Oryzias latipes: one gene and its partners. The protein of the gene in region 1 purifies or fractionates together with the protein of each later gene. This does not show direct contact. Links are inferred from orthologs where the notes say so. Each region holds a gene or a part of one and is shown in the gene's direction. Other genes may lie near its edges.

Evidence for each region. Proteins that work in one complex are often made in the same cells at the same time.
Region 2: the proteins of sart3 (region 1) and prpf31 purify together in Homo sapiens (affinity purification with mass spectrometry; 6 studies listed by BioGRID and IntAct, counting the BioPlex papers as one, with this or other methods). This does not show direct contact. The link is inferred for Oryzias latipes from reciprocal best matches to the Homo sapiens genes SART3 and PRPF31.
Region 3: the proteins of sart3 (region 1) and lsm2 purify together in Homo sapiens (affinity purification with mass spectrometry; 3 studies listed by BioGRID and IntAct, counting the BioPlex papers as one, with this or other methods). This does not show direct contact. The link is inferred for Oryzias latipes from reciprocal best matches to the Homo sapiens genes SART3 and LSM2.
Region 4: the proteins of sart3 (region 1) and prpf3 purify together in Homo sapiens (affinity purification with mass spectrometry; 5 studies listed by BioGRID and IntAct, counting the BioPlex papers as one, with this or other methods). This does not show direct contact. The link is inferred for Oryzias latipes from reciprocal best matches to the Homo sapiens genes SART3 and PRPF3.

Annotation. Positions count from the first base shown.
Region 1 is NC_019867.2:12,883,274-12,886,263, reverse strand, and holds part of sart3 (squamous cell carcinoma antigen recognized by T-cells 3), read left to right. Parts: coding exon 1-74; intron 75-258; coding exon 259-397; intron 398-1,263; coding exon 1,264-1,371; intron 1,372-1,439; coding exon 1,440-1,517; intron 1,518-1,611; coding exon 1,612-1,670; intron 1,671-1,923; coding exon 1,924-2,033; intron 2,034-2,111; coding exon 2,112-2,224; intron 2,225-2,406; coding exon 2,407-2,483; intron 2,484-2,572; coding exon 2,573-2,735; intron 2,736-2,815; coding exon 2,816-2,990. UniProt on the Homo sapiens protein: U6 snRNP-binding protein that functions as a recycling factor of the splicing machinery. Promotes the initial reassembly of U4 and U6 snRNPs following their ejection from the spliceosome during its maturation.
Region 2 is NC_019874.2:19,363,817-19,368,702, reverse strand, and holds the start of prpf31 (U4/U6 small nuclear ribonucleoprotein Prp31), read left to right. Parts: upstream 1-1,619; 5' UTR 1,620-1,792; intron 1,793-2,061; coding exon 2,062-2,274; intron 2,275-2,354; coding exon 2,355-2,415; intron 2,416-2,505; coding exon 2,506-2,589; intron 2,590-2,683; coding exon 2,684-2,781; intron 2,782-2,978; coding exon 2,979-3,085; intron 3,086-3,218; coding exon 3,219-3,388; intron 3,389-3,483; coding exon 3,484-3,641; intron 3,642-3,738; coding exon 3,739-3,828; intron 3,829-3,903; coding exon 3,904-4,031; intron 4,032-4,482; coding exon 4,483-4,555; intron 4,556-4,886. UniProt on the Homo sapiens protein: Involved in pre-mRNA splicing as component of the spliceosome. Required for the assembly of the U4/U5/U6 tri-snRNP complex, one of the building blocks of the spliceosome.
Region 3 is NC_019862.2:27,136,673-27,141,260, forward strand, and holds lsm2 (U6 snRNA-associated Sm-like protein LSm2), read left to right. Parts: upstream 1-1,321; 5' UTR 1,322-1,439; coding exon 1,440-1,442; intron 1,443-1,627; coding exon 1,628-1,695; intron 1,696-2,814; coding exon 2,815-2,845; intron 2,846-2,931; coding exon 2,932-2,991; intron 2,992-3,893; coding exon 3,894-4,019; 3' UTR 4,020-4,348; downstream 4,349-4,588. UniProt on the Homo sapiens protein: Plays a role in pre-mRNA splicing as component of the U4/U6-U5 tri-snRNP complex that is involved in spliceosome assembly, and as component of the precatalytic spliceosome (spliceosome B complex).
Region 4 is NC_019874.2:18,946,778-18,951,404, forward strand, and holds the start of prpf3 (U4/U6 small nuclear ribonucleoprotein Prp3), read left to right. Parts: upstream 1-1,360; 5' UTR 1,361-1,536; intron 1,537-1,919; 5' UTR 1,920-1,928; coding exon 1,929-2,073; intron 2,074-4,052; coding exon 4,053-4,183; intron 4,184-4,627. UniProt on the Homo sapiens protein: Plays a role in pre-mRNA splicing as component of the U4/U6-U5 tri-snRNP complex that is involved in spliceosome assembly, and as component of the precatalytic spliceosome (spliceosome B complex).

The DNA of each region.
Region 1 (2,990 bases):
AGATTACCTTTGAAAGAGCTCTGGCAGAGAACTGCTTGGTTCCAGACATGTGGTCTAAATGCACCAAGTATCTTGTGAGTATTGATTATTGTTCAGTCTATAAAGAATGAAATTTTTGCTATGTATTTGTTTTAGTTCAGCTGCCTGTTTCTGTTTATTTAGCATTTTAGTAAATTGGCCAATTAAGAAAGAAAAATGAAAACATAATTAAAAAAAAAGTGTTGCTTAGATTTTTGTCTTTTATTTTTGATCTTTTAGGATCGCCAGCTGAAGGTTAAAGACTTGGTTCTGTCCACTCATGAGCGGGCTGTTAGGAACTGCCCCTGGACCATGAGTCTGTGGAAGAGCTACCTGCTGGCTTTAGAGAGGCATGGAGCAGACCATCACACTGTGTCAGGTACCAGTTTGATTACCTGTGACATTTACCACATGTGTGATGACTAACTTTTAATTCCTTATTAAAATGGTTTTAAACAGTGGAGGAGAAAAAAGTTGTTAAAGAAAATGTTTTTTTCCTTGAAATTTTCATTTAGGGAGAAAAATCGAATGAATTAATTCGAATTTTTTGTTACGGGTGATTTAAAAAATAACTAAATTGAGTTTTTTTGCAACGGTGCATTTTTGGCTCCCCGGAGCTTCTGTAGCGTTAATTCACACGGCAGTATGACAAGCGACAAACAACAACATCATAGCACCACGAAACAGCAAGCGGCAACATGGCTACCGGTGAGAGTGGGAAGTTTGTTCCCAAGAAAGGAATAAAATCATCTGTTGTTTGGAACTGGTATGGGTTTGCTGCCACAGACGTGGAGGAAGAGACCCCCCCCCATGCTGCAACACTTGCCTAAAGCCCATCGCAGTCAAAGGCAGCAGCACCACAATCCTATTCCAACACCTGGAACAGAGACATCCAGCGGAATATGAAAAAGGCCAGTCTCTCTGAGGCGAACAAAACCGCGGTGACCAAAAAAACAGCTAACTGTAGCCGAAAATCGGAAATCAAATCAAATCTGAGATTTTATTTTTAGGCCTTATAGCCCAGCCCTAGTCAAAATAAAAGAATATTTGGTTACTTGCTAAAGTTAACAAATAGTAATTTTTTTTCTATTATTTCTATATACATATTAGAAAAAAAGCTGTAAATGTTTAATTCTTTACAAAGATGCTGAGTTATTAAAGTTGAGGAAGCACGTGTGTGTTAATGGGGACAGTTAGTTTATTTGTGTGTTTGAGTTTCATTTTCTTCTTTTGTCTTTTGTTCAGATGTTTTTGAGAAAGCACTGAATGCAGGCTTCATTCAAGCAACAGACTATGTGGAAATCTGGCAGGTGTACCTGGACTACCTGAGGAGGCGCGTGGATTTCAGTAAAGGTGAGAGCTGCTGTGTTCGTCACATTTGGTAAAATAAGAAATTGGAATCATTTAAACTCTTTCTTTAGAATCAAGCAAAGAATTGGAGGAGTTACGAGAGGCCTTCTCTAGATGCTTAGACTACATGAAACAAGATGTTGAAGAAAGTAAGTAAATCTATTGTTTATTTACTTTATTTTGTCAGTTGAAGTTCTCATTTAGCTTTTTTCATCACTAACTTATATTTCGGTGTAAATTCAGGATTTGGGGAAAGTGGAGACCCTTCCTGTGTCGTCATGCAGATTTGGGCAAGGATAGAGGTAACTGGTGCTACTGCTTAAACCAGATTCAAGTGTGAAATCTTAAATTATATTATATTGGTGGTAAAAATAAAATAGGACTCAAGTCTTAACCAAGAGAATTCTATAAAACAATTTAAGATAAATTAAGTGAAAGCTGAGAATTTGGTTGTTGAAAAATGAAGCAGGAAGTTTTGATTGGAATATTTGAACAGTATCTTTCAAATTTTGGGATTTTAATTTGGCATTAAATTCTTTTTCTGTTCCTCACCAGGCCCTCCACTGCAAGAACATGCAAAAAGCCCGAGAGCTGTGGGATAACATCATGACTAAGGGGAACTCCAAATATGCCAACATGTGGTTGGAATACTACAATCTTGAAAGGTTTGTTTGGTAATCCCCCAAATCCAGAGAGAAAAACACTTTGCAGCAGTGACAAGAAGCTTTCTCTGAAAACCATAGATCTTATGGGGACTCTGTTCACTGCCGGAAAGCTCTCCACAGAGCAGTTCAGTGCACCACCGACTATCCGGAACACGTCTGTGACGTCCTGCTCACCTTTGAAAGGGTAGAAGGTGAGTCTCATGGTAACACAATTTTACACCTCCAATCTCATGTCAGCATTATATAATCAACTCTGTTGCTTTATTAAGTTAAATACAGTTAGTGGTATATGAGATGAACTATCTAACAGATAAACTAAAGATCTCATAGCTGTTAGAGATTGAGTTATTAATTATATAAAGGTTCCATCCAGGTTCATTGGAGGACTGGGACACAGCGGTGCAGAAAACTGAGTCCAGGATGAACCGGATTAATGAGCAACGAGCCAAGGTAGGAAGGTGTTGATGTGTGTTGGACAGGATGGTAGCATCGCATGGAGCTAATGTTAGCATATCCGGATCATAACCTCCAAAAATCAGGCTGCTGAGAAAGAAGCCAACCAGGCTCGCCAAGAGGAGGAACGAGTTGAGCAGCGTCGGAAGGTCAAGGCAGAAAAGAAGGGTCTGAAAAAGGATCAGAGGGGAGCTGGTGAGAAGAGAAAAGCAGAACAAGAGGATCAGGATGAATGGAACAAAGACTCGGGTAAAGGTTATTTTAAGGAAAAATAACTTAATGTTTTGACAATGTTGTCACAAAGTTTCTCTTTTCCATGATGTTGTAAGGGCCTAAAAGGCGCAGAGGGAATGTAGACGGCACTACAGACGAGTACATGGAGACGGAGACCGGGCTCTTTGGAAGGAACGCTCCCAGAACTAAACCTTCAGCCGGCCTGAAGAAAGTCCCGCCTGGACACGGGGACGCTGCGGAGAAGCAGATCGACGACAAGTCTGAGCTCCG
Region 2 (4,886 bases), on another chromosome or scaffold:
TTTACTTTTAGGTGTATTCTTAGACTGCACGAATTATTAAAGAAGTTCTGTCTGGGTTGTTTTTTTTCCCTGCAAATTCCAGTATTTATTCCAATGTTTAATTATTTAGGTAAACATATTTATTTATTTACTTATTTATTTGTTTGTTTATTCTTATCTATTTATTTGGTGCTTTTAGCAAACAGGAATTTAGGTTTAATTTGGGACAAGATACATTAAAGGTATACCTTGTCTAAGCTCTCCATGACAAATAAAATATTTTCCCAAAACGTCTTAATTGCTGGAAAAAAGAACTATTTTGTATAATTTTACTTGTTAATACTTGCCAATCTGTACTGTACTGAATTATGTCTTGTAATGTTTCCTTATTTTCATGTTTATATTATTAGCAGTCTTGTCATTCTTTATCTTGTTTAATGACCGTTTATGTAGCTTAGCATGACAGAACAGTTGCTCATCAGTAAATAAGACCATTTGCTTGTGTATTTGTTAATTTATTTCATTTTCTACTAATAGCCATCAATCATGCAGCTGAGGTCCAACTAGTCCATTTGTTTAGTCTGTTTAAATGTTGGTTTAAAATTGTATTGTTTAAAAACTGGGTTTCAAAGGGGAGGATGTACAATAAAAACTACAAAATGTGAGCCTCTTATCCAATACGGGTCATGTCCCAGTCATTGTTCATTCGTTCAAATACCTCACCAATTTGTTGCAAGGGCAGGGTCCTTTCTGAGTCCCTATATTGTGTCAATTAGAAGTAATATTTAAATATGTTCTACTGAAAGCAGAAGTCAGTTACAGAATAAAATGTATAAAATAGAACAGTTAATAAATATAAGTCTAATAAAGTGGGAAACCACAATTGGTCAAAGCATAAACGTCCATTGATAAAGAATTTGTGGCCCATTGTTTTGTGAATGAAATTTTGATTGTAAAGGTAATTGTCTTATTTCTATAAAGTTTTTGTGTGCTATGGTGAAGTATCATAATTTATTAAAATTGTTGTAAAAAAAAAAAAAAAAAAAAGTTAACCAAACTCTAGTTTCCTGAATGCAAGACTGGTACTTTGCTGCCATGTATGTATTATATTTTGTGTGTAAATATTTTAAAACGCAATTTAAATATAAAATGTAAAGTTTTTAAGTTCTTACTTTGTCCCATCACTTTTGAATACGTTTTTTTTAACAGTTTGTCACAGAAACTTACTAGTCATTTATTTAGTTATTTGTTGTTGTTTTTTTAACTTCTCTTCCTATTATGTACAGGTAGCTTTTAAGGGTCTAATAAATAATATAAAATAAATTAAGAATAGAAAAATATTTTTAAAACAATATTTTAAGAACTACAAATAAAAGAAGAGTTATAGTAAAGTCATTTTCGGAATACTAGAAAAAAACCTGTGTTTTTATTTTGTGGCCTGAAATGTAACTCCTTATTCGAATAAATATGTATTTAGTTGCGACCTACTACACATTTTTTAAGAGAAGGTAATTAAAGCAACCAAGTAAACTCATAAAGACCGAACATTCATTTTTAGAAAGAAGCCCGTATGTTATTTTCTCATCTCTTAAGGAAAGGGGATACTTACCCATAATCCCATGCGGAAATCGTGACGTATTTATTCTGCGACAAACCACCCGGATCGTGAGCTTTATGTTGTAAACAGGAGCAAGAAGCCGCACAAGTAGCATTACCTATATTGGCTTCTATTAGAACCCTTCCTGTCTAAAGTGACTTTTAAAAAAATATAAATATATTTTTGTTTTGTTTTACTTCATTTTGAAAGTGCGACGTAAGTTACTATTTTTCAGTGTTGAATGACGTTTGGTGAACGTTTGCTAACTTTAGCTAGCTAACACAGAATAGCAGACTGATATCAGTTTTTGTTTTTTTCAACGGGATGTTTATAAAAAATAACACTGATAGACTTTCGTTAGATCTACTTCCTTTTGAAAATAATTGCAATAAACACAAATTTAACAACTGCCCACACTTTTACTCTCGTTTAAGCTGAAAGATGCATTGTTAGAAGATGGATCATGAATTTTACTCTGATTGCAGATGTCATTGGCTGACGAGCTTCTGGCTGACCTGGAGGAAGCTGGAGATGAGGGGGAAGATGGGCTGTACCCAGAGGGGGAGGAAGGAGGGAGTGATGGAGAGGGGGCTTCAGGGAGGACAGAAAGACTGGAAGATATCCCCGAAGAGATGGAGGTGGACTACAGTAAAACTGACAGCATTACGTCTATCGCCAAGCTCCGCAATAGCAAACAGGTCTTTGTTTAGCTGACTCTCATAAAGAGTTCCTTTTTTTCACTACCTGAAGGCAGTCCCTTTTAACTGCTTGTTTTCAGTTTTCAGATATAATTGAAAAAATATCTGGATATATTGGAAAACAGCGCAAGAATTCAGATGGTGAGTGTTGAAAAAATGTGCATTTTAACAGAAAATGTTACTGATTTACTTCCATTTCTTTTTCTCCTGTTTACCTGTATTTTCTTTCAGTTTCAGGACCAGTTGAGGCTGACCCAGAATACAGGCTGATTGTTGCAGCCAACAATCTTACAGTTGAAATTGACAATGAGCTTAGTGAGTTGGACTTTTATTGTGCGACAAAACCTAATGAAGAAATTGGATTCTTTCAACTGAAAGTGTGAGGTCTGTGTTTCTCCTGTCTTTTCAGACATCATTCACAAGTTTACAAGGGACAAATACTCCAAGAGATTTCCAGAGCTTGAGTCTTTGGTTCCAGATTCTTTAGATTACATTCGCACAGTCAAGGTTTGTTGATCTTAAAAGATAAGTTTGGAGACGTTGAAGTTACCGGATATCAAATTTTTGATTTTGTTTTTCTTCTATTAAAAGAAAAGATTTGCTGAATGGTTTCCATTATTCTGCATAGGTTTGTTTTTTTCTTTTTGCATCTAACCTCTAAATCTTCCCCCTTTTTTTGTTGTAAATGTGTGCTTCGTATAAAGGAATTGGGAAACAACCTGGAGAAATGTAAAAACAATGAAACCCTGCAGCAAATTCTAACCAATGCCACCATTATGGTCGTCAGTGTCACTGCATCAACTACACAGGGGTAAGTTTAAGAATGTTGGTACTTGTGTCCTATTACAATAAACTTTTTTTTTTAACATTTCCATTATTATGTCTGTTGTTTATTTTATTTACATAGACACTCCCTTTATATATTTTATTGTTTTCCTCTTAAGGTCATTGCTAACGGAAGATGAGCTGAAGCAGCTTGAGGAGGCTTGTGACATGGCTCTGGAGCTCAACCAGTCAAAACACAGGATATATGAATATGTAGAGTCCAGAATGTCCTTTATAGCTCCAAACCTGTCAATCATTGTGGGAGCATCGACTGCAGCAAAGATCATGGGTGAGGAAGTGAAACTATCTAGAAAATATCAAGTTTTTTTATGCCCATACATTTTTTTTTCTTACTTTTGAATTTTTTTCCCTGTTTGGCTGAAGGCATTGCTGGAGGCCTAACAAACCTCTCAAAGATGCCAGCCTGCAACTTGATGCTGCTGGGAGCCCAAAGGAAAACTCTGTCAGGCTTCAGTAGCACATCGCTGCTTCCTCACACGGGCTACATCTACCACTGTGATGTTGTGCAGTCATTGCCTCCTGTCAGTACACCATATTCAAGAATAACAAGTACCTTTTCCACATCTAATGTTTGTTTGCCTTAGTTATCTCCTTTCCCCTTTTGTTCTCCCCCCTCAGGACCTTAGGAGGAAGGCAGCTCGTCTGGTGGCCGCGAAATGCACTCTGGCTTCTCGAGTAGACAGTTTCCACGAGAGTCCAGATGGAAAGGTAAACATCTCAAATTAAAGGAACATTCAGAAATATAATTTCTGTCTCTGTTATTCAACTCCCTTTGTAATGCAGGTTGGCTATGACCTAAAAGAAGAAATAGAGAGAAAGTTTGATAAATGGCAGGAACCTCCACCAGTGAAGCAGGTCAAACCACTGCCAGCCCCGCTGGACGGACAGAGAAAGAAGAGAGGAGGAAGGAGGTCAGTCACTTATGGTTATTAGTATTTGATAGAATTGCCTGTAAATTCATCAAAACCTCTGTTTGTATTATAAATATAGTCAATGGCTTCAAAACTATTTAAGGAATTTTATAATTCTCAAAAACTGCTCTTTTGCCAGAGTTCTTTTAAAAATATGCTGCAATGTAATTGTTGTTTTAAACATCTTTGATATAGAAATACTTTTGTCTAACAAAGAACTAACTAAATGGAGAAATACAATTATTTGGACAGCCCTACTCAGTTCATTTTTGTCCAATTAGTTTACTTTGAAGTATTTTGTAATATCTTAAACTGCAGTACAATCAATTAATCTGCATAATTGTGACAAATGTTGAATTTATCACAGATGTAATGTTTTAGTGAAAGAGATATTGAATGTGTTTATTAGTCAATGCTTTGGTTTGAGCTGCCCTTTATGTTTGTTCTGTAGGTATCGAAAAATGAAAGAGCGCCTGGGGCTGACTGAGATCAGGAAACATGCCAACAGAATGACCTTTGCAGAGGTTTGTGGATTGTCTTAAAGCAGCTTGATATTTACTTTTCTTAGTATGTTCTATATTTTACCTTATCATTTGGTAATCTATTATTTAGCAGCCACAGGTTGTAGTCAAGATGATTTTTCATGAAAGCACAAGAAATCTAAAGTACAGCTCCCTTCATGTTATTGAAAAAGCAAAATGAAAAATGTCCATGATAATTGAAGTATGAGATTGATTTTAATTCATTGCAGTTAAGATTTTCCTCTAAAACTTTGGCTCAGGATCGGTTATTTGAAGGAAGATTCAGGACAGATAAACTATTGAAGTAATTCTACCCACCAATGATATTTCATCA
Region 3 (4,588 bases), on another chromosome or scaffold:
TAAAGTCTTTTTAGAATAGGGTTAGTTTTACATGATAGTCTATAGAGAAACTCTGTTTTTGCTTTTAATGATCCACTTATCTACCTATCCATCCTCAGAACCCACTGAATCCTTTAACTGAGCAACTGTTGAGTAAAGTTAGTGGACCACTACGTCACTGTGCAGCCCTATATTTGATGAAAATGAATTAAGTTAACAGTTGCAGAAAGACTCACTCTATCAAGTATGTATCTTGTAATAAAAGAATTTCCAAAACATAGGAAAATTCATAAAAGGAGTAAATGGTCCAGAGTTATCTCACCTGTTTGTTTTTTATCCTGAACTAGAGTCCACTGAGACACCGTCCACTCCACAGTTTAAGCACATTTAGTGGAATTTACCCGTGTCAACAACAGAAGACCCAGGAGCAACGTCTTAACTTTCTCAAAAACAAAACAAAAGAACTTTTGAATTAATAATTATTTTAAAGATAAAACTGTGTACATTCAGTTGTGATTCGTTGCTATAGAGTTTTCTGTTTCAGATCAAGTTCGTAAACCATGATGAGTAAAGAAGCTGAAAAGATTTGTTAAAACATCTGAGTGCTCGACACTGCCCCCGTGTGGTCTTTCATCAGAATACAGAAAGAACTCTTGAAACAAAACGGTCACAATTGTGTTCATTTTCTGATTTTTATTGCATCAAACTGTAGATAAAATCAGAAAGACATTGGAGAAGAAACAGAATAAAACTCCAAATGGCACTGGAGACCAAAGGTTCTTTAAATTAGAAGACGTAAACAATAAATATATCCAGTTTTCATACAGAAAACTTTCAGCATTAAAGCATGAAAAGCATGCTTTCCTTTGACCAGTATAGAAAAACACAATTTCTTTACAAAGATTAATATCGTTATTAATATAGTTTAGGTTCTATGTTTTTATTACGACCCTACGTTTTTTTTTTGTTTTTTTTTGGTGGCCCTAAAACTCCGTCGTAATTTATAAAAGAACATTGAGGAACAAACTTAATCCTGATTAAAAACTCTTGCAGCAAATTATAGACATTTCAGGTTTGTGTTTGTGTGTGTTTTTAAATCACAGTAAAGGTCTGCATACTACAAAAAAATAAAGTTTTGAGGTACAAAAAGTATCACAAACATGTCTGGTAGCTAGACTAGAAGCTAGACTAAATCTGAATTAGACTTTTGATATTTTATTCAATTTTTTAAGAGATGGCTCATAATGTTTTTTATGTCTTTTTTTTTTAAAGAAATATGAGTGAAAGCCTAAATTTAAATCTCGGTCAATGAAAAACACCTGATAGTTCCTTAATAAACATTGAACGACAGTGTGTCTCCCTCTAGTGGCGCAAAGTGGTACTCACTCACCGCTGAAACACGGCGCAGGCTGATACGTCATCAACAGCAGCCAAACCTTCTGTAGAACACCACAGCCAAAATGGTAAGGCGTAAATCGTCATTTTAAAATGTACTTTTTTAGTTTAAGTCAAACATTTTAGGTTTCTGAGTGTCAGAATTCTTCTGAATTTCTTTTGTTTTGTCGCTGAGTTTGCTCGCAGTGTGCTGAGCCGCTTTGTCGGCCCATCATCGTGCTAACATCGTCTTTTTTTTAAAAAAAATCTACAGCTTTTCTACTCGTTTTTCAAGTCTTTGGTTGGGAAGGACGTGGTGGTGGAGCTGAAAAACGACCTCAGGTTGGTTTTGATAACTCAACATACCAATTTGTTTGGTAATGTTTCTTTTCAAAGCGCCGTTTGTGGTTAAAAATGGCGCGTGGTTCTGCTAGCGCTGTTTGAATGGGTGCAGTGAAGAGCTACTTAGCATTGACAGAGACATTGACTCTGTCAGAGTTGCTGTCTTTCCTTCTAGCTGGTGTTTTGCATCTCATGCTGGTCACAGTGGCGTGGGGTTGCCATCCCTTCCTTCCAGCATTTGTTGCAAATCTGGCTCAATAGGTTGGTGCCAGCAGCGTGAAAAATGTACTTTTTTTCCTGTTAGTTTTCTGAGCTAACTCTTGGTCTGCAAACGTGCTGCAAATTCATTTTAGACCTTTTTCCCGAAGAAGTAGGGTCAATTGCGGGGGTGGGGGTGGGGGGTCAATCAAACTAGCTGCATCTCATGATGAAAGCTCAAAAGTAAATATTAAAATTAGCTTACAGTTAGTTGTTGGGCATTCTTTAAAGACGTAACTCATAATTCTTAGCTCCTCTCACAGATGGACGATACTTAGACATGTGGTACTTTTTTTAAAAACCCATCCAAATGAAAAAAGTGGTTTTGATGCCATAAGCTCCCTGCTCTGCTCCATTCTGATGCATCCACTTGCAGGCAAATAGATTTGTCCGTCTTTGTTTTCCTGGTCTGAGCTGGCACAAATAACTGTACGGCTGGATTGCTCCAATATTACTTTTTTTTTCTTTTTTGTTGCACACCTAATGTTGGGTTAAGGGGGGGGGGTTGTAAGTTAGCAAAGGATGATGGGAAGATGGGGCAGGCTTGCTCTGCACCAACGATCTCAGACAAATTTCTAGTGAACAACTGCTGCTCTGCAGAAACTGTCCTAGAAAACGACGCAGGTTTTTTTTTTATTTTTGGCTAAAAACAGCACATTTAAAGACCACTAGGAGCGCTTTAAAAAGATAAGAGTGGGATATAAGAAAAAACAGACTTTCCTGCAGCATTGACAATAGAAATAAATTTACTGAACAAAAACTTTGACTTGTTCAATACAAATTTGCATATTCCCAGAAAGTCATTTAACATCAAAAGTTCACTGTTGCATTGAAAGCTTCATTTTCTCTTTTTCCCCCCAGTATCTGTGGGACGCTTCATTCTGTTGATCAGGTTAGAAAATAATTAATTCTTTACTTTTTTTAATTAATCAATGTATTGGTTTGCAATTTAAAAATGTTGTTCTTGTCATCATCTAGTACCTGAACATCAAGTTGACCGACATCAGTGTGACAGACCCAGAGAAGTATCCACACATGGCAAGTCCTCATCTATGGTTTACTTTTTAGTCTAAAGTTTGCATAGAGGCCTCTAAAACATACAGTTGTTTTTATTCTTTTATTTCCTTCTGTCAGTATAACAAACATTTTTAAAGTTGTCTGCTGGGTGAGAAATGTAGAAGCACACCTTTGGAAGTTCAGTTTCAGTGTAGGGCAGAGCAGACAGCAGTTCTTCAGGTAAACAGCAAAGATTTAGAAACATTTTTCAGAGTTTCTAAACTACAATTTTTCAGAAAAACATTTAAAAATATGCAGAAGTTCTACACTCACTGCCCACTTTATTAGGCGCACCTTGCTAGTACTGGGTTGGACCCCATTTTGCCTTCAGAACTGCCTTAATCCTTGGTGGCAGAGATTCAACAAAGTTCTGGAAACATTTCTCAGAGAGTTTGGTCCATATTGACATGACAGCATCACACGGTTGCTGCAGATTTGTCGGCTGCACATCCATGATGCCAATCTCCCGTTCCACCACATCCCAAAGGTGATCTATTGGGTTGAGATCTGGTGACTGTGGAGACCATCGAGTCCAGAGAACTCATTATTAATAGATGATTTCAGCTTTGCTGCGTTCAAAATCACTTAAATCACCTTTTTTCCTCATTCTGATGCTCGGGTTGAACAGCAGCAGATCATCTTGACCATGTCTAAATGCATTGATTTGCTGTCATGTGATTGGCTGGTTGGAAATTTGTGATAACGAGCAGATGGACAGGTGTGCCTAATAAAGTGGCAGGTGAGTGTAAATGTGGTTATTTGACCCGTGAGAGTGGTGGGAAAAAGAGAAGTGTTAGCTTCTGAATCCCCTTGGATGTGTTCATTCTCTTCCTCTGGAAGGCGCCCTGCCTGACTCCGTGTCTCACGTGTTTCACGCTCTCCAGCTGTCTGTGAAAAACTGTTTCATCCGCGGCTCGGTGGTCCGGTACGTTCAGCTGCCGGCAGACGAGGTGGACACTCAGCTGCTTCAGGACGCCGCTCGGAAGGAAGCCATGCAGCAGAAGCAGTGACCGGGGCTGCGGGTTCGGGGAGGGGGGCTTTAAGTCATGGGTTCTTTATAGTTCAGTTTGAAGAAGACCGCTGTGAACCGCCTCCACACACTGCGCCGGTCGATGGAGAATTGAGTGCATTCCTGATGTTGGCGATGGGCCAACTGCAGGTCTGTGGGTTTATGGACATTTTCTTTACTTCTGAGGCGGTTTAGGATCTTTGTCTTTTGTTTCATTCCTATAGAGTTTGGCCTAAAGTGAAGCCTGCAGATGAGACTCTGCCATTTTCCAATAGCTGTAACTTTTTTGTTTTTTAATGCCATTTGGAAATAAAATAATTTATATTTGGCTGTGTTGCTCCGCCTTTTTTTGTTTTGTTTTTTCTTTTCTAAGATGCTGGGGTGTAAGCCTGCACTATAAATTGCAAATGTATCATTATCGCCAAACAATCTTATGGCACCTTGAAGGGTTTAATGAATCAAATAAATCCCTGTACGCGTTTGACCAATCGGATGGATCCCTTTTGTAGATGACTCTTAATTAAATTAAACTGTTGACGGGAAATGGAAATTACATTTTTAGCTGTTTTG
Region 4 (4,627 bases), on another chromosome or scaffold:
GAGCCTTGTGGACTTTCTTTCTTTAACTGAGGGATACCAACAGTTTTGTCCACCACTATTTTAAAGGTTCATTGGGACAATTATTTTAATGTATTACATTTTTCTAGTAAGTGTAAATAGCTTTGCAGAGCATTTTTACAAAAGAAATTGCAATTTGTTAGCACTGACATGGATTATTATACAGAGAAGAGCCACTGTGTGGTAGCCTCAGGCTCACCACTGCTCATTCAGGCTCGCTCTACTACAAATGCACTCAGTTGACCCACATCACGCAAACCAATAGACACCCAGGGGCGGATCTGGAGTGGAGTGGGAAGGAAAGCACTTGATAAGCCAAAGATTTTTTTTTTTGGGGGGGGGGGGCTTTTTTTTGTAAGTTGACCGAGTATCTAAGTGCAGTGCTTGAGTAATGTTTAACTTAAGACTGAACTTAAGGGTTATGCGTAGCCTAAGCAGAAAATTGTGATTTACCATTCAAAGAAACTTTTCACTTCATGAACAAAAAGATGATGCCACTACATTTTGGAACTGCAATTAAATTTGCCCATGTCTTAAAATGCAAAAATCTCCTATATTGTGGTATTACAGTTTTCTCTTACGTTTGGTTAGATTTTGTTAGCAGTGGTTTAAAAAATGTTTGTGTTTATCTGTGGTAACACAACTACATTTTACTAGGACAGAAATTAAAATGCAAATACTTGCATTGCTCATTTGTATAAATAATAGTTATAATTTTCATAACACACATGCAGAAGAACACTCACAATGCATAATAAACATTGTTTTTATCACTGAAATTACTATTGTAAAATATATTATAAAATGTGCAGTATAAAGTACCTTAAAAAGGTATTCTGCTTACTAAATGCAAGCTACTTATTGAATAGGCTAACGTTTCTCAAGTTTAATTGAAACAAAAAAAGAATATAAAAAAAAAGAAACAAAAAAAAGAATATCAAAAAAAAGAAAGAATATCATGCAATCTGATTGTTTAAGTTTCACTTTGGACTATTTCCTATAAAATATGCCTTATTTAATCAAAAAATGTATGGAAGAAAATATTTGCACATAATTTAACTTTGGCCAGCTAGGCAAATACATTTTCAATCCCTTAACAAGACTTTACAGACAAAACAATTCCTTTGTGTTGTCAGCTGTCAGGTGAATTTCCTTGACTTGCTGAATTTTTGCTAATATTTAATGAACACTTTTAAATATATTATAGAAGCGGTTTTGACTTTTATTTTTTAAAGTGCCTTTATGAAAGCGCATAAACAACTGCAAGAGAAATGACATAGATGGCGAAAATCAAACAAAGCACGGTAAAAAGACTGAGAAGGATAAGTCGAGAAGAAGAATTTACGTCATTTCCTCTTCCGGGTCTCGTGGAAGAAACGTTACATGTACGGAGCGGCTAATCAGAAAGTTTGAAAGAAATGTTCAGGCTTTAGAGATTTGTACCCTTGAAATTAGATTCTTTTTGTGGGTAATTTAGAGTATATCTAAAGTAAAGAGGATTGTAGACAAAACTGAGAGGTTTGTATCCACCTTTAAGCCGCTATTAGCAGATTTCGGTAGCTCCCAAATGTAGCAATATGCTAACGTGTGCTAGCAGCGGTCGATGAGTTTTGGCGCAAGTAGCTAGTAGAGTTTAGCTTGTTTGCTATTTTGGTTAGTCTGGTTATTGATATGTTTTGATATGAAGCAACATTTTGTTAACTTAACTTTCATTTTTTATGACAAAAGGCAAACTTGTCCTCAAATGTGTTCGACATTTTTGACACGCAGGAGGGTCTCTCTGTGTCATGGCTTGTGATTAATAATGCCACTTGTGTAGCTCTCACTCATCAACTTTGTCAACAATAGGACTCCTGTTCCAACAAGAACTAAAAAAGACATCTGCGTGCTGTGTTTTGAAGGGCAGAAGGATGTCTCTTCCCAAGCGGGAGGTGGAGGAGTTGAGACCGTGGGTGGAGCGCACTGTGAAGAAGGTGTTGGGGTTTTCAGAGCCCACGGTGGTCACTGCAGCTTTACACTGTGTGGGGAAAGGATTGGACAAAAGGAAGACCACGGGTAAATTCCATGCTCATTTGCATGAAGAAAGAAGTTTTCAATCATTAGTAATTAATTCTGTTGTGGTTATTTTCATTTTTTTGTTCTGTTTTATTCCATCTTTGATGACACAGTTACTTGTGCATTTCTGAATTTAAGCGTCTCTTATTCATCTTGTTTTGAGGTTGCACATTAAGATAGTCTTATAATATAAAGCAAAAACAAACTCGTAAAAAATTTTAAGAGATTCTTTTGTTTGTCAAATGTTTGGTGCTTTTAGCTTTCCCGTAAACATTTGCTTATGATTACAGTCACTAATGGTCTTAGTCTAATAGTGTTTTTCAACCGTTGTGCCGTGTGATATTACCCATTTTCACTGATCTAAAAACATTTACCAAATCTAGGATATCAGCTCTGTGTTCATCCAAACAGGCCCCAAGAAAGCACTAAGTAGTTGGGAATATGAAAGATCGTAAAATACTTTTTTCTTTGTGTTTATTTGATTCTATTAAAGACATTTTGATAAGGCTGCACGTTGGCACAGTGGTTAGCACTCTTGCCTCACAGCAAGAAGGCCCCCAGTTCAAGTCCCAGCTGGGGGAACCAGAACATCAATGGGGGACCTATCTGTGTGGAGTTTGCATGTTCTCCCCGTACATGCGTGGGTTCTCTCCGGGGCCTCCGGCTTCCTCCCACAGCGACCTCCCACCTGTCCGTTCATACAACTCTAAATTGTCCCTAGGTGTGACTGTGAGAGTGCATGGGTGTGTGACCTGCGACAGACTGGCAACCTGTCCAGGGTGTCCCCTGCCTTCGCCCACAAGTGATGGGCTCCGGCAGCCCGTGATCCCGAAAGGGACAAAACGGAAGAAGATCATGAATGAACGAATGGCGGTACCGCGAGTTAGCCGCAGCTTCAGCTCTGTTTTTGGAAAAGTCCCACCCCTTTAACCCCTCCACCAATCATTCTTGGAGGTTTAATCCTGCGTCAACAGTCTGACCTCTCAGAAGTGGTTAAAGTCATCACTTCCTTGTTCTGATTTAGCTTTTTCCACTACATTTCCCATGATGCATTGGGTTAACGTGACAGCGTCTCAGCGGACGAGTCTTCCCTGTTAAACGTCTTGAAACCACAACAAACACACATCAGTTTTTAAATCTTCTTTATTAAATCAAAGGTCAACAGTTTAGTTTTCTTCAAGGTTTGTGTTTTTTTAATAACATCCAAACATCCCAGAGTTTGGTCCAAGTCATCTTTATTAATGAAACATTTTTCTTATAAGGTCTGTAAGAAATAGGATAATGTTGAAGTGGCCGAGAGACACAATCAAACAGAATTGAAACAATTTAATAATCTAAAAAGAAATAAAACATTTCTGTTAAAGTTTTCAAAGAATTAATCTTTGATTAAGACAAGAGAAAAACTAATAAAACTTCAACATGTTCACTTTTGATGTAGCTACAGAAAACATAAATATGTTAGTTTTGGTGTGTAAAACTTAACAATCATATTGTGATCATATAACTGTTCAAAAATTACAGTTGCCTTTGCACCAACATTGAAAAAAAATTGTAAAAAGTATATTATTTAGAAAGAATGTATTTGTTTTTTTGTGAGGTTACATGAAATTGCATGTTAATAAACTGGAGGGGAAAAAACATCTACCAGGGTAAATTTTCAATTAATTTATTTGAAAGTTATTACGGAAAACTAACTTAACTTTTATTACATCTTTTAGAAAAAACTGCTGCAACTTCCAGCTTTTTTGCCACAATTATCACAAAAATGTCTGTGATTGCGGAGGGACTGTAAATCAATACAGACTATAGAGTTTCTCCTTTTTTTTATTTTTGGATGCTTGTGTGCCGCAGGAATTTTGTCAAGGATAAAGTGTGCCTTGGCTCAAAAGAGGTTGAAAAACACTGGTCTTATATTAAGAAATGATTATCAACGAACTGTTGAATACATTGTTAATCATTTGACTCTTAATTGTCCTCAGACCAGTTGCGTCCCTTCCTCGAAGACTCAGCTGGTGGATTTGTTGAACGTCTTTTTGAAGCTCTTGAGGAAAGTAGAAGCAGCCGTGGCAGCAAAGGATCTGGAGAAAAGAACCGGAAGAGAGAACTTAAGGTAAATTAATGAATAAAAATTAATGATTTAGGCCTGCACAATATATTGCAAATTTATCGTTATTGCGACATCAAGCTGTGCAAATTGCATATCGCAAAGGACTGCAAAAATTGCAATAAATTGTAACCTTAAATGTTATGGTAGCTTGAAGTATTTAATGAATCAAATAAATCCATTTATGCATTTGACCAATCAGATGGAGGTCTTTATGTTGTTGACCAAGGTAGGGTACCAAATTAACCTATGAAGAATGGTTTTGGGATCATCATTCTTTTATATTGAGAAAAGTCAGTCAAAAACTTTTGCAATACCTGTTTATGGGAACTGAGCAGCTCCACTGGAGCAATTGTGGCTGCTGTCACAGTAAGGGTCTGACTTAAGAGCACAGCGGTAGGGTTATGGGTTACTTTGTCCCATCTAAGTTTAATCTCACTAATTCTGGGA